Mus musculus: one gene and its partners. The protein of the gene in region 1 purifies or fractionates together with the protein of each later gene. This does not show direct contact. Links are inferred from orthologs where the notes say so. Each region holds a gene or a part of one and is shown on either strand. Other genes may lie near its edges. The genes, in order: Ncl, Larp7 and Nap1l4.

Region 1 (3,649 bases):
ATGAGGAAGAAGAGGAGGAAGGTAACCATATTAACTTTTAAAGTATGCTGACCTAAGTAAGGCTTACTGGCTATGCTAAAGTGTCTGCTTACTCATGAATGGCATTTTAAAACATCTAGAACCTGTTAAAGCAGCACCTGGAAAACGGAAGAAGGAGATGACCAAGCAGAAAGAAGCCCCTGAAGCCAAGAAACAGAAAGTAGAAGGTAAGCCTGCAAAACTGGGGAAACAGATCAGAGTAGCACTAGCACAAGTGATGAGTGACAAAGGGACTTAATACTGAACCATGGGGTTGAAATGAAATATGCTGATGTGCTTTATAGTTTATGATGAAATTTGTTGTGTGCTTAAGTGGGCTGAAAGTTCATTTTTTGTGTGTGCAGGCTCAGAACCAACTACACCTTTCAATCTGTTCATTGGAAACCTTAATCCAAACAAGTCTGTTAATGAATTAAAATTTGCCATCAGTGAACTTTTTGCTAAAAATGATCTTGCTGTTGTGGATGTCAGAACTGGTACAAATAGGTAAGTTTTAATTGAATGTTACATGTGTATCAGCTAGAATTTTTACTTTCCAGTTGTATTCTTCCCTGCCTTTAAACATGGGGCTATATCTAACTATGTTAGTAAAAGTCAGTTGTCTCCTCTCGTGGCCTTAAGTACAGTTAAGGAGCTGCAGTAAGAAAGACTATAGTATTGAACTAAATCATCGAGTCATAGGGCCTGCAATTTGAAGTTCCTGTGTTTGACTTGATAAAGATAAAATAAAATTTAAAGAAGAAAAGATATTAAACACATAAAATTTTGTGCAGTATCTACAACTATGGATCTGCATAGTCATATGCTTTTAGCTAAAAGTATTCTCTGTACTTTTAGCGGGGTCCATGCTAGCTACTGCTGTTAGTTACAATATACTGAATGAAGAAATCGAGGTGAATTTGTTGTAATGTCTTGGTACATGGACTTGTTTTGTTTTTTGTTTTTTTTTCTTTAAGATTTGTTTATGTATATGAGCACACTGTAGCTGTCCAGATGGTTTTGAGCCTTCATGTGGTTGTTGGGAATTGAATTTTTAGGATCTCAGCTCGCTCTGCTCTCAGTCCTTGCTTGCTCTGGCCCAAAGATTTATTTGTTGTTATACATAAGTACACTGTAGCTGACTTAAGATGCATCAGAAGAGGGCATTAGGTCTCATTATGGGTGGTGGTGAGCCACCATGTGGTTGCTGGGATTTGAACTCAGGACCTTCAGAAGAGCAGTCAATGTGCTTACCCGCTGAGCCATCTCTCCAGCCTTTGGACTTGGTTTTATGGAAGATAAGGGTGATCTAGTTTTATTTTTGTTAGTGCTGTAGATGCTCTGTGTGTGTGCCACATGGTATAAGTGCAGATCACCTTCTCATACCTGTAATCTTGTTTTTTCCATCTTCAAGGAAATTTGGTTATGTGGACTTTGAGTCTGCTGAAGACCTAGAAAAGGCCTTGGAGCTCACTGGTTTAAAAGTGTTTGGCAATGAAATTAAACTAGAAAAACCAAAAGGAAGAGATAGTAAGAAAGGTATGTAAGGGGGTCTGGGTGACTGGATACTAACAGACTTAGGCAGTCTGGTGCCTCTTCCTTAGTTTCATCCTCATTGTGAACCAATGAGATGTCATAGGTCATGTGCTTGTTGACAGGTTTGATTCCTGGGATATATAATGTCAGGGCTGACAGGAGGAATAGCTTAGTGAGTAAAGATGCTTGCTGCAAAATGTTTGATCTCTAGAAGCCACATGAAGAGAGAAGAACCTTTAATCCCAGCATTTGGGAGACAGAGGCAGGCAGATTTCAGAGTTCGAGGCCAGCCTGGTCTACAGAGTGAGTTCCAGGACATCCAGGGCTACACAGAGAAACCCTGTCTCGGAAAAAAAGTTTTAGCTTATCCTCTGACCACATGTGTATCGTGACATGCTTGAAGCTTACGTATCTCTTAAATGAATTCTTGATCCCTATATTTTGAGTTTCAGAATTTGGATTTTAAGTGTTTGTTTCTTAGTTGTGCTGAAAATTGAACGTGGGCTTTTCACATGCTAGGCAAATTTGTTGGGTTTTTTTGTTTGTTTTTTTCTCAAGACAGGGTTTTTCTGTGTAGCCCTGGCTGTCCTGGAGACCAAGCTAGCCTTGAACTCAGAAATCTGCCTGCCTCCCAAGTGCTGGGATTAAAGGCGTGAGTCACCACTGCCCTGCTAGGCAATCACTCTTAAAACTGCTACATATCCTCTGTCCCCTTTTGCTCATTTTACAAGGTTGCTGTGTGCTCAATCTGCAGTCTATGTTATATGCTTACTGGATCTAGGCTTTTGATGTAGAATGAACCATATGAGTGATGAGGTATCTTAGAGATGGAAACTAAGTCTAAATAGACTTGTTCCATATACAACTTAATACATATGGTCTAAGGAACATGATATACATGTAAACAAGTAGGAAGGAGATAAGTCTGGTGTCCAGGGAAGCCAGGAGAGCCTCATCTGAAACTGGACAGGGGTTTGTGAGTCATCAGGTGACAATTGAACATGGGTACTCTTCATGCAAATGGTTAGTAACCATTGAGCCACCTCTCCATCCCTTTATACCATTTTTTTTTTTTAGCATATATCCTTGTACTTTATAGGAATTATTTGCTTTATTCTCTTGTGACTTGTAAATTGATGTACTTAATTAAATCTTTTTCCAACATAGTTCGAGCTGCAAGAACACTTCTAGCCAAAAACCTCTCTTTCAACATCACTGAGGATGAATTAAAGGAAGTGTTTGAAGACGCCATGGAGATCAGATTAGTCAGCCAGGATGGGAAAAGTAAAGGGTATGTTTTGTGTCTTTGAGTGTTAAAGTTTTATTAAGTTTAGTGTCTTCTTCCCCTCTCCTTGTCCTTGACAGTCTCTAGTCTGCTGCTTCAAACTTAACTTCATAACCAGAAAATTGAATATCTGGTCCTCTGGCCTCTACCTCCCAAGTTCTGACATTAAAAATGCTCAACTGATGGGTTTTGAAGCTGTGATCAATTTTACAGGCTCAATCCAAATTGGCATCTTTTGCCACAAGTACTATCCTTCCCTATTTTATGAGAGAAATGTGATTCTAGGCAGTTCAGTCTATTGTGTTGGCTCTTTTTCCTCCTCACCAGTTTAAAGGATGAAGATGAGCTAATACATAGTAAAAGAACAGTAAAAGCACATGTGACTAAGTCCTTCATGACTGATGCTTGAGTAATATTTTCTCTAACGTAGTAACTGAATTGTCTTGTACTCTTTCAGGATTGCTTATATTGAATTTAAGTCTGAAGCTGATGCAGAGAAAAATTTGGAAGAAAAGCAGGGGGCAGAAATTGATGGACGATCTGTTTCACTCTACTATACTGGAGAGAAAGGTCAAAGGCAAGAGAGAACTGGAAAGACCAGCACTTGGAGTGGTAAGTTAAAGGGTTTATTGTGTAGTGGGAACAGGAATCATTTGTATCTTTGTATTTTAAGTAATTGGTTACCTACAATTAGTTCACCTTTGTTCATATAGCTGATGTTTAGTCTTCATGAGTGAAAGCTATTTGAAATCATTTCCTTTGGAGTATAGTAGGCAAATAAAGCTTTTTGTTGGGTATGTTTTCTACTTT
Region 2 (3,749 bases), on another chromosome or scaffold:
ATGTATATTACATAAGTTTAAAAAAAGACTCGCAGGCTGGAGAGATGGCTCATCAGTTAAGAGCACTGACTGCTCTTCCACAGGTCCTGAGTTCAATTCCCAGCAACTGCATGCTGGCTCACAACCATCTGTAATGGGATCTGATGCCCTCTTCTGGTATGTCTGAAGACAGCTACACTGTACTCATAAACAAAATAAATCTTAAAAACAAAAACCAGCCAGGTGTGGTGGAGCATGCCTTTAATCCCAGCACTCAGGAAGCAGAGGCAGGTGGATTTCTGAGTTCGAGGCCAGCCTGGTCTACAAACTGAGTTCCAGGATAGCCAGGGCTATACAGAGAAACCCTGTCTTGCCCCTACCCCCCCCCCCAAAAAAACAAAAAAAAAACCCCAAAAAACAAAACAAACAAACAAACAAAAAAAAACAAAACAAAACCAAAACCCAAAGGGGGAAAAGCTGCCATGGAAAACATGATGCCATGTTATTTTTACCAATCTTTCACTAAATCCTATCAATTTCATCTTTGAAATGGCTCTTACCCCCATTTAATGTTTTCTCCATCTGCTATTAGAATATGAGTTTATAATTGCACTAGAAGTCACCTATCCTTTACAGAAGTTTGTGTCACCTGTCCATAATACTCATATGGTTTATGATGGTTATATTTTATATTTTTGGGAGTGAGCCTAGCTTTTCATGGCTGAGCTATCTTTCTAGTCTGTGAAGGTTATTTCTAAACTTGAAACATTAGTGATTCTGATAAGTTTTTCTTTTTTCTTTTTTTTTGTAGTGTCATAAATATACTGCTAAATGAATGTGGTGATACACAACTTTAATACCAGTACTTGGGAGGTAGAGGCAGGTGGATCTCTGAGTTTGAGGCTGGCCTGCTCTGCAGAATTTCTGGACAGCCAGAGCTACATAAAAAATCCTGCCTCCAAACAATCAAACAAACAAACAAACAAACAACATCCACCCACAAAACTCACAGTCTTGGAACAAAGAAATTACTGTGAAGCAATGCCAGATATTTATATAGATAGATAGTTTTAAATCTTGACAATCCTACTTGGTCGTTTCTTTCCCCTTTTCAAAGGGAGGCTGAAAGGTTATGTAATTCAGTCAAAACTAGGTAGGTAAGCAAACCGAGGTGTTTGACTCTTACACTGTCTACCGTTTAGTAGAAGCTACACTCTGTCAGCATTCACACTATATTCTGACCCAGGAATTTCTTTTTTGGGGGGTGGTGGGTGGTGGTTTCAAGACAGGGTTTCTCTGTATAGCCTGGCTGTTCTGGAATTTACTCTGTAGATCGGGCTGGTCTCGAACTCAGAAATCCACCTGCCTTTGCCAACTCCCAAATGCTGGGATTAAAGGTGTGCGTCACCACTGCCTGGGCTGTCCCAGGAATTCTTCATCTGACCTCCCTGACACTTCTGGGAGTTTAAAGACATCTTAGGAATCCATGAGATGTTATAAGACAAACTTTTAAACAAAAGGTAAAATCATGCTTATACAAATATAAAGGAATATGGTAAATTTAAGTGGAACTAGTCTGTTTAAAGGAGAAAAGACCAGATCAATATGCAGCATAAAGTCAAAATGAATGTTAACATATACTGGTCAGGGGCAATGATTGGGCAAACATGGTTTTCATCTTTATGTTTTCAACAAGTTACAAAGTTGCAACACTGCCCAAAGACAGTGAATGTCACAGATAATCTGGAAGTAAGCTGTGCTAGATGTAAAGCAAAAGACCATTTTTTTTTTTTTAAATTTTAAATCAAAGGTTTTGTTTGTAAAATCACATACAAAATGTTTCCACAGGTACATGTAAAATTTTCAAAGGAACTCGACAATAATATTTTCCAGGCTTTAAACAAAAAGAAGAGTACCCAAAAGATTGAGAACCAAAGTTGTAGTCACGGCAAACCCTTTAGCGGTCTGGAACTTTGCTCCAAATAATCTTTTAGTGTGAATGTTTTATGAAGTCATTCGGTTTCCCACCACCGCCCGGCTTCGAAAGACTACTAAAAGGCAGTCTTACTTCTTGAGGATTTCCATTCTCAATGAACTCTCCACTCATATTTCTCCTTAATTTCTCATAAACGCACTCAGAACTTAAATTCATTACTGTTAGCCCCTTCTACAACGGCTTTTTCTATAGAGGGACTAGCAAAAAGAAAAGACTGAACTTTAGAATGCAAGTTCTCACAACTGATGTCCTTTGGGAAGACAACCTGCCTAACACCCACAGTTCCTCTGAGCAACCCTACTTCCGCACAGACTCCCCCCCCCCCCCCCCCCCGCAGCCGGGCGTGCCCCAAACACCCCAACCCCAAGCTCGGCCCGCCCCCTCTGTACTGAGCTCCGAATAGCAGGGGCCGCCAGGGAACTGCGCGTGCGCACAACGCACGGCGCCAAACCAACGGCACAGTGGCGACGGGGGCGGGGTGAGGCGGACCGCGGATGGAGGGTGGCCCTCAGGAGACCCGACTGAGAGGAGTTCCCACCTCTACGGGTCTGAGAGGCTCTGCAGGCCAGTAGTGACTTACTCCGTGCTCGTCCCCAGATCCACGGTCAGCGCTTGTGTTCTCCCACGCTTTCCTTCTCCCGACCCCTGCGGTCGGCGGAAATTTGCGTCATTCGAGTAGCGACGCGCTTCTCTCAGCCCGCTACGGAAAGACGGGTCCGAGGCCCAGGGTTCGTTGCTGACGTCATAGGCGGAGCATCTCGGGGGCGGGAGCCACGCGGTGACTGCGCTGGCACGCGGAGTTCCATTGGTGGTTTGCGAACGGCGGCGGGCGGGGCCTCCGCGGTACCGTCCCTGCTTGATGACGTCACTTAAGTTGGCGGGAGAAATTAGAAAGTGGAGTTTATGTCATTGAGCCGGTGAAGTGGAGACTTTTCTCTCCCGTGTTCTAGGCAAGAAGGGTGGACAGACCGGGCGACTTGGCGCGGTTGGGAGAGCACTGGACACTGACTCGCCTCCACGGAAGCGACCCACGAGGCGCCGTTAGAGTGCCGGGTGAGGCGGTCACCATAGCGGCCCATCCCGGTTGTGGGTGTTTTAGGGGCTGACATAGGACCAAGGGGGCCATTATTATTTAGTGATACAAAACCTTGAAGTGTCAAGGCTTGGCAAGTGAAGCTATGTTTCTTTTAGGGATCTGTACTGTTCCTTGTGGTTTAGCAGGCCGTTCGTGGTTTGGAAACTTTCCTGGTTTGAGCGGTGCTGTTCTGAGCTATTGTGACAGTTTTTCATCACTGCAGAGGGCCAGATAGAAACTGTTGTTGGGCTCCAGAGCTGGACTTCCTAACGTAATAGATCAAGAATAGGACCTAAAAGAATAGGACCTAAAATGTTCATTGCTAACTAATTGTCAGGTCATGTCCCTGGAACCACTTGAAGATATGTGTGCTTATGTGTGCTGCTTTTGCATCTGTATTCAGTTCACCATCGACGATTTCAAGATTTCAAAATTTGACCTTATAGTTAACATGGTAGTTACAGTGGCTGCTGCAGCACTGTCCAAGAGATTTTTCTTCCTGGGTGTGGTGGCATATTGCTTGTAATATCCCAGCTATTTCCAGAGGCTAGGACGGGATTGTGCAATATGGTCAGATCCTATTTTAAACAAACATAAAGGACTGGATGCATGTAAGCACTATTACCTAGTTTACATATAGTCCCTTTTGTCAGCCCCTAGCACTGGGTAAAAGAAAGAACAAAATTTTCCTTGCAGAGG
Region 3 (3,749 bases), on another chromosome or scaffold:
ATCGAGTTCCAGAACAGCTAGGGCTACACAGAGAAACCCTGTCGTGGAAAAGCAAAACCAGCCACTAACCAATCAAAATGTCAGGAAAAAAAAATGTATGTCAGAAAAAAATGTAAGTAAAAACATACGAGCTTATTTACTTTCCTTAATTTTGTAAGCGAAACTGTTTATACATAGTTCCAATTTAAGAATGAAAGAGAAGTAATACAGAAAAACAATGCTGTAGACCTTCTGGCCTTCAGTAACCACACTTCATTTTAAGTTTTTGTTTTTCAGACAGGGTTGCATGTTGCTCAGACTGGCCCCACACTGGCTACATAGTTGGAAGTGACAAACTGCTCATTCTGTCACCTGTATCTCTTATCTCAGAAGTACTGGGATTGAAGGCATGCATGTTGCACCATACCCAGCTTTGTTTCCAACTGCCCTGTTCGTAGAATTTGTTAGGAAAACACACATTATCTGCAAGCAAGTTATTTATTCTTATCAGATGTTGTCTATTGCTTCAATGAAAACACCATGACCAAAAAGCAAGTTAGGGAGGAAAGGGTTTATTTGGCTTACACGTCTATATTGCTGTTCATTACTGAAGGAAGTCAGGATAGGAACTCAAGCAGGGCTGGAACCTGGAGGCAGAAGCTGATGCACAGGCCATGGAGGGGTGCTGCTTACTGGCTTGTGCAGCTTGCTTTCTTACAGACACCACCAATAAGCCCAGGGGTGGTACTACCCACAATGGGCTGGGTCCTCTCCCACCAATCATTGAGAAAATGCCTTACAGTTGGATCCTATGGAGGCATTTTCTCAAAGCTCCCTCCTTTCAGATAACTCTAGTTTGTATCAAATTGACACACAAAACCAGCCAGTACAGATGTGCTGAACTTTTCTATCAGAAGGGTAGTCCCATGCCAGGCAGGCACTGTAGACAGAGGGTCAGAAGGCCTTGAGAAGTAGGCGGTGCTTTTCCCAGGCCGGGGGAAGGCAGGGAGTTGTAAGTAATCTGGAAAGAGCGTTGCCGATGTGGTCCAGGAAGCTCAAACCCTAGAGGTTGTAACAAGCCCAAAGTCCTACACGCGCGCCCAGCAGCCCCTTTAAAGAAGCACGAACTGCGCGTGCGCCGGAACACACGTCACTACTCTAACTACATATAGCTCGCGGGCTTAGGCTGGACGCCGTGCTCCCTCAACAGATTTTGATTGGATACCGCCTTTCCTAGTGCCTGGTGCAGTTGATAAACAGCTCTATTGTCCATTCGTCGCCCGTTTTGCTCGCAGAGGGTGGAGCCCGGCGATACGGCCAATGGCAGGTGGTTTTGTTGGCGACCACGGCGGTGCAGCCCCGGAGCGAGCTTAGGACAGGCGCCACTGCCGCAGGAGGCGCGAGGTGCGGTGCTGGCGGGTAACGGCGCGGCGGGCGGCTGGCGAGGGACTGGGGCGGAGGAGGCGGAGACGGGGAGGAGTGGGCGGCGCGGGCAGGCCGACGCGCCATGGCGGCGAGCAGAGGCGGGCGGCGACCGGGTCAGAGGTCCGGGTGGCGGGTGGCGGCGGATGGCGGGCCGGTCCCTCCTCCGTGCAGCCCCGCCCCCGGCTGAAGGTCAGCGCGCTTTGTTCCCGCCGCCCGAGAACCCACGCGAAGCGGCGCAGGCGGTTCCTTGAGAGGACAAGGCCTCCCCAGCGAGGTGGGCCTGGGTACGCCTCGTCTCAGACCGCGCCTGGGAAGGAAGGGGTCTACTGGGCCGCCGCCTCGCCCTTCCGGGCTTTGCATGCTCTCCGCACAGTGCCCCGGTCTCTGAGCCAGACCTCACTCTCTGAGCCTGCGGTGGAGGCGGAGCCAGCCTAGTGACACACACTGAGCCTTCAGACCCGGGCGCCCCTAACGGGTTCAGGGTCGTCAGCAGTACCCCTTCTTCCGAGGGTATCCTTGGGGCAAGTTGGCCCGCACTTCCTCCAACTCTGCTTCGCTGCCTCTTGGAGGAATTTCCGCGGTAGCTTCCGGCGCGTGCGCTGCGGTAACGAGCATATGCATATTCCACAGCAAAAAGACTCAAGTTTAAGTTTTTGGTCCAAAAGTTAAATGCTTTTAAGTTACTGCCGCCTTCCTGTCATAGTAGTTGCTTCCTCTCGGTGACTAATCTCCGCTTACTACACACCAGGGGCTCCTTTAAGCTCCTGACGTGTCTTAACTCATTCACAATAGTACGTGATGTAGGTGCAACAGGCTGACTGTGCATTAGCAAGAAACGCCTGGGTTTTGAAGTGGTTCGGTTTGTGGAATATTTGTAGGTCTGACAGATGAGCGTACCTAATCTGGAAATCCAAAATGTGCTCGAAAAGAAGTGGGTTTTGGGACGTTCTGATTTCTTTTCTTCTTCTTCTTTTTTTTTTTTTTTTTTTGGTATAGGAGTATTCGACCTGTATTGCAAATTAAGTCCCTGATAGGTTAAGTGTGATGGTACCTTGCATCTAAATTCAAATAGATTTAATCTGGCTCAGTTTTAATAATAAATGTTTATTATTAAATAAATAACGTATTGAAACAAATATTCAGATGAACAGTAAGATTCAGAGAAAGCAGGGCTTTGATAGGACTAGAGTATAGTTCACCTGTCGGGTAGTCTACAGCTGTATCATTTTAACTAAAGTAGATGCTGTAAAACTCAGTTGTCGGTCTCAACCCCCCCCCTTAGTTGACCAATATTGGTTCACAGTGTCATAACATTTAAACACATTTTGATGTTTTAGCTTTAAATCCCGAACTGTTTTTCACAGTTAATATAGAATAGCTGGTGAAAATAATAGTGATTTTATCGTTTTTTGAAAATTCTGGAATTGTATTACCAAAGTTCTGGGGGAAAATGTATGTATTTTGGGATCTTCTCAGAAATCATGGCTTGTGAGCTGGCCATTTGGCTTTGTGTAGTTGAGTATATAGAATATACCAGTGGGCAATAAATCTCCTGCAGGGGTGGTATTCTTAGAAATGAGGTAGTTCACCACTTTGGTCTGACTTTGTACTTGAGTCTTAAAATGCCCCAGCTAAGATAGATATGGCAGTATACACCTAGATTCCCAACTGCTCTGGAACTGTTTAAAATCTGTCTTGGAAAAACAGCAAGATCCTATCTCACTTTTTTTTTCCTGTTTGCCTCTTGTTAGTGAAAGTATACTGTCCCTGCTAGCTGTCTTTATGTTGTGTATAAAAGTTTATGTTGTATTTGTATAAAAATTTAACTGCCAGTACCTAAAATTTTGGTTTTTGGAAGAAAAAAAATCCTAGACAAGAGAGTTAATTTAGGGGTGGTTAAGATCATTGTGTGCTTTTGCAGAGGACCTAGGTTTGAGTCCCATACTCATAAGGTGGCTTCTAATAGTCTATAACTTAAGTCCCAGGGTTCCAACAGCCTCTTCTGGCCTCTGCAAGTAGTGCACAGACAAGCAGGGAAACCACCCATACACATAAATAAGTTAGAAATTTAAGAAAGGGTAGTTTAAATCTGAAGGTCTAAGGGCAACTCTCAGTGTGAAATAGGCACATCAGTGAGTTCTTTGCTGCTTGCATCCAGCCCCAGGTGACCTGTTTTGAAAAAGAGGCAGTAGTAATGAGCTGTTGGGGACTTCTAGCCCGTGAGTACAAGGTTTTTTTGTTTACTTAAAAGGAAATGTAAGTGGGTGTGTTGGCTTGTATCTGTATTCCAGCTCTTAAAAGGTAGAAGCAGGAAGCTCAAGGCCAGCCAGCGCTACTGCAAGAAA

The links.
Region 2: the proteins of Ncl (region 1) and Larp7 purify together in Homo sapiens (affinity purification with mass spectrometry; 4 studies listed by BioGRID and IntAct, with this or other methods). This does not show direct contact. The link is inferred for Mus musculus from reciprocal best matches to the Homo sapiens genes NCL and LARP7.
Region 3: the proteins of Ncl (region 1) and Nap1l4 fractionate together in Homo sapiens (co-fractionation; 3 studies listed by BioGRID). This does not show direct contact. The link is inferred for Mus musculus from reciprocal best matches to the Homo sapiens genes NCL and NAP1L4.

Annotation. Positions count from the first base shown.
Region 1 is NC_000067.6:86,352,928-86,356,576, reverse strand, and holds part of Ncl (nucleolin), read left to right. Parts: coding exon 1-21; intron 22-119; coding exon 120-206; intron 207-249; exon of another isoform or gene 250-317; intron 318-383; coding exon 384-525; intron 526-1,432; coding exon 1,433-1,557; intron 1,558-2,721; coding exon 2,722-2,845; intron 2,846-3,296; coding exon 3,297-3,451; intron 3,452-3,649. UniProt on the Homo sapiens protein: Nucleolin is the major nucleolar protein of growing eukaryotic cells. It is found associated with intranucleolar chromatin and pre-ribosomal particles. It induces chromatin decondensation by binding to histone H1.
Region 2 is NC_000069.6:127,550,628-127,554,376, forward strand, and holds the start of Larp7 (la-related protein 7), read right to left. Parts: upstream 2,723-3,749; 5' UTR 2,556-2,722; intron 1-2,555. UniProt on the Homo sapiens protein: RNA-binding protein that specifically binds distinct small nuclear RNA (snRNAs) and regulates their processing and function.
Region 3 is NC_000073.6:143,546,676-143,550,424, reverse strand, and holds the start of Nap1l4 (nucleosome assembly protein 1-like 4), read left to right. Parts: upstream 1-1,304; 5' UTR 1,305-1,383; exon of another isoform or gene 1,384-1,398; intron 1,399-1,478; exon of another isoform or gene 1,479-1,688; intron 1,689-3,749. UniProt on the Homo sapiens protein: Acts as a histone chaperone in nucleosome assembly.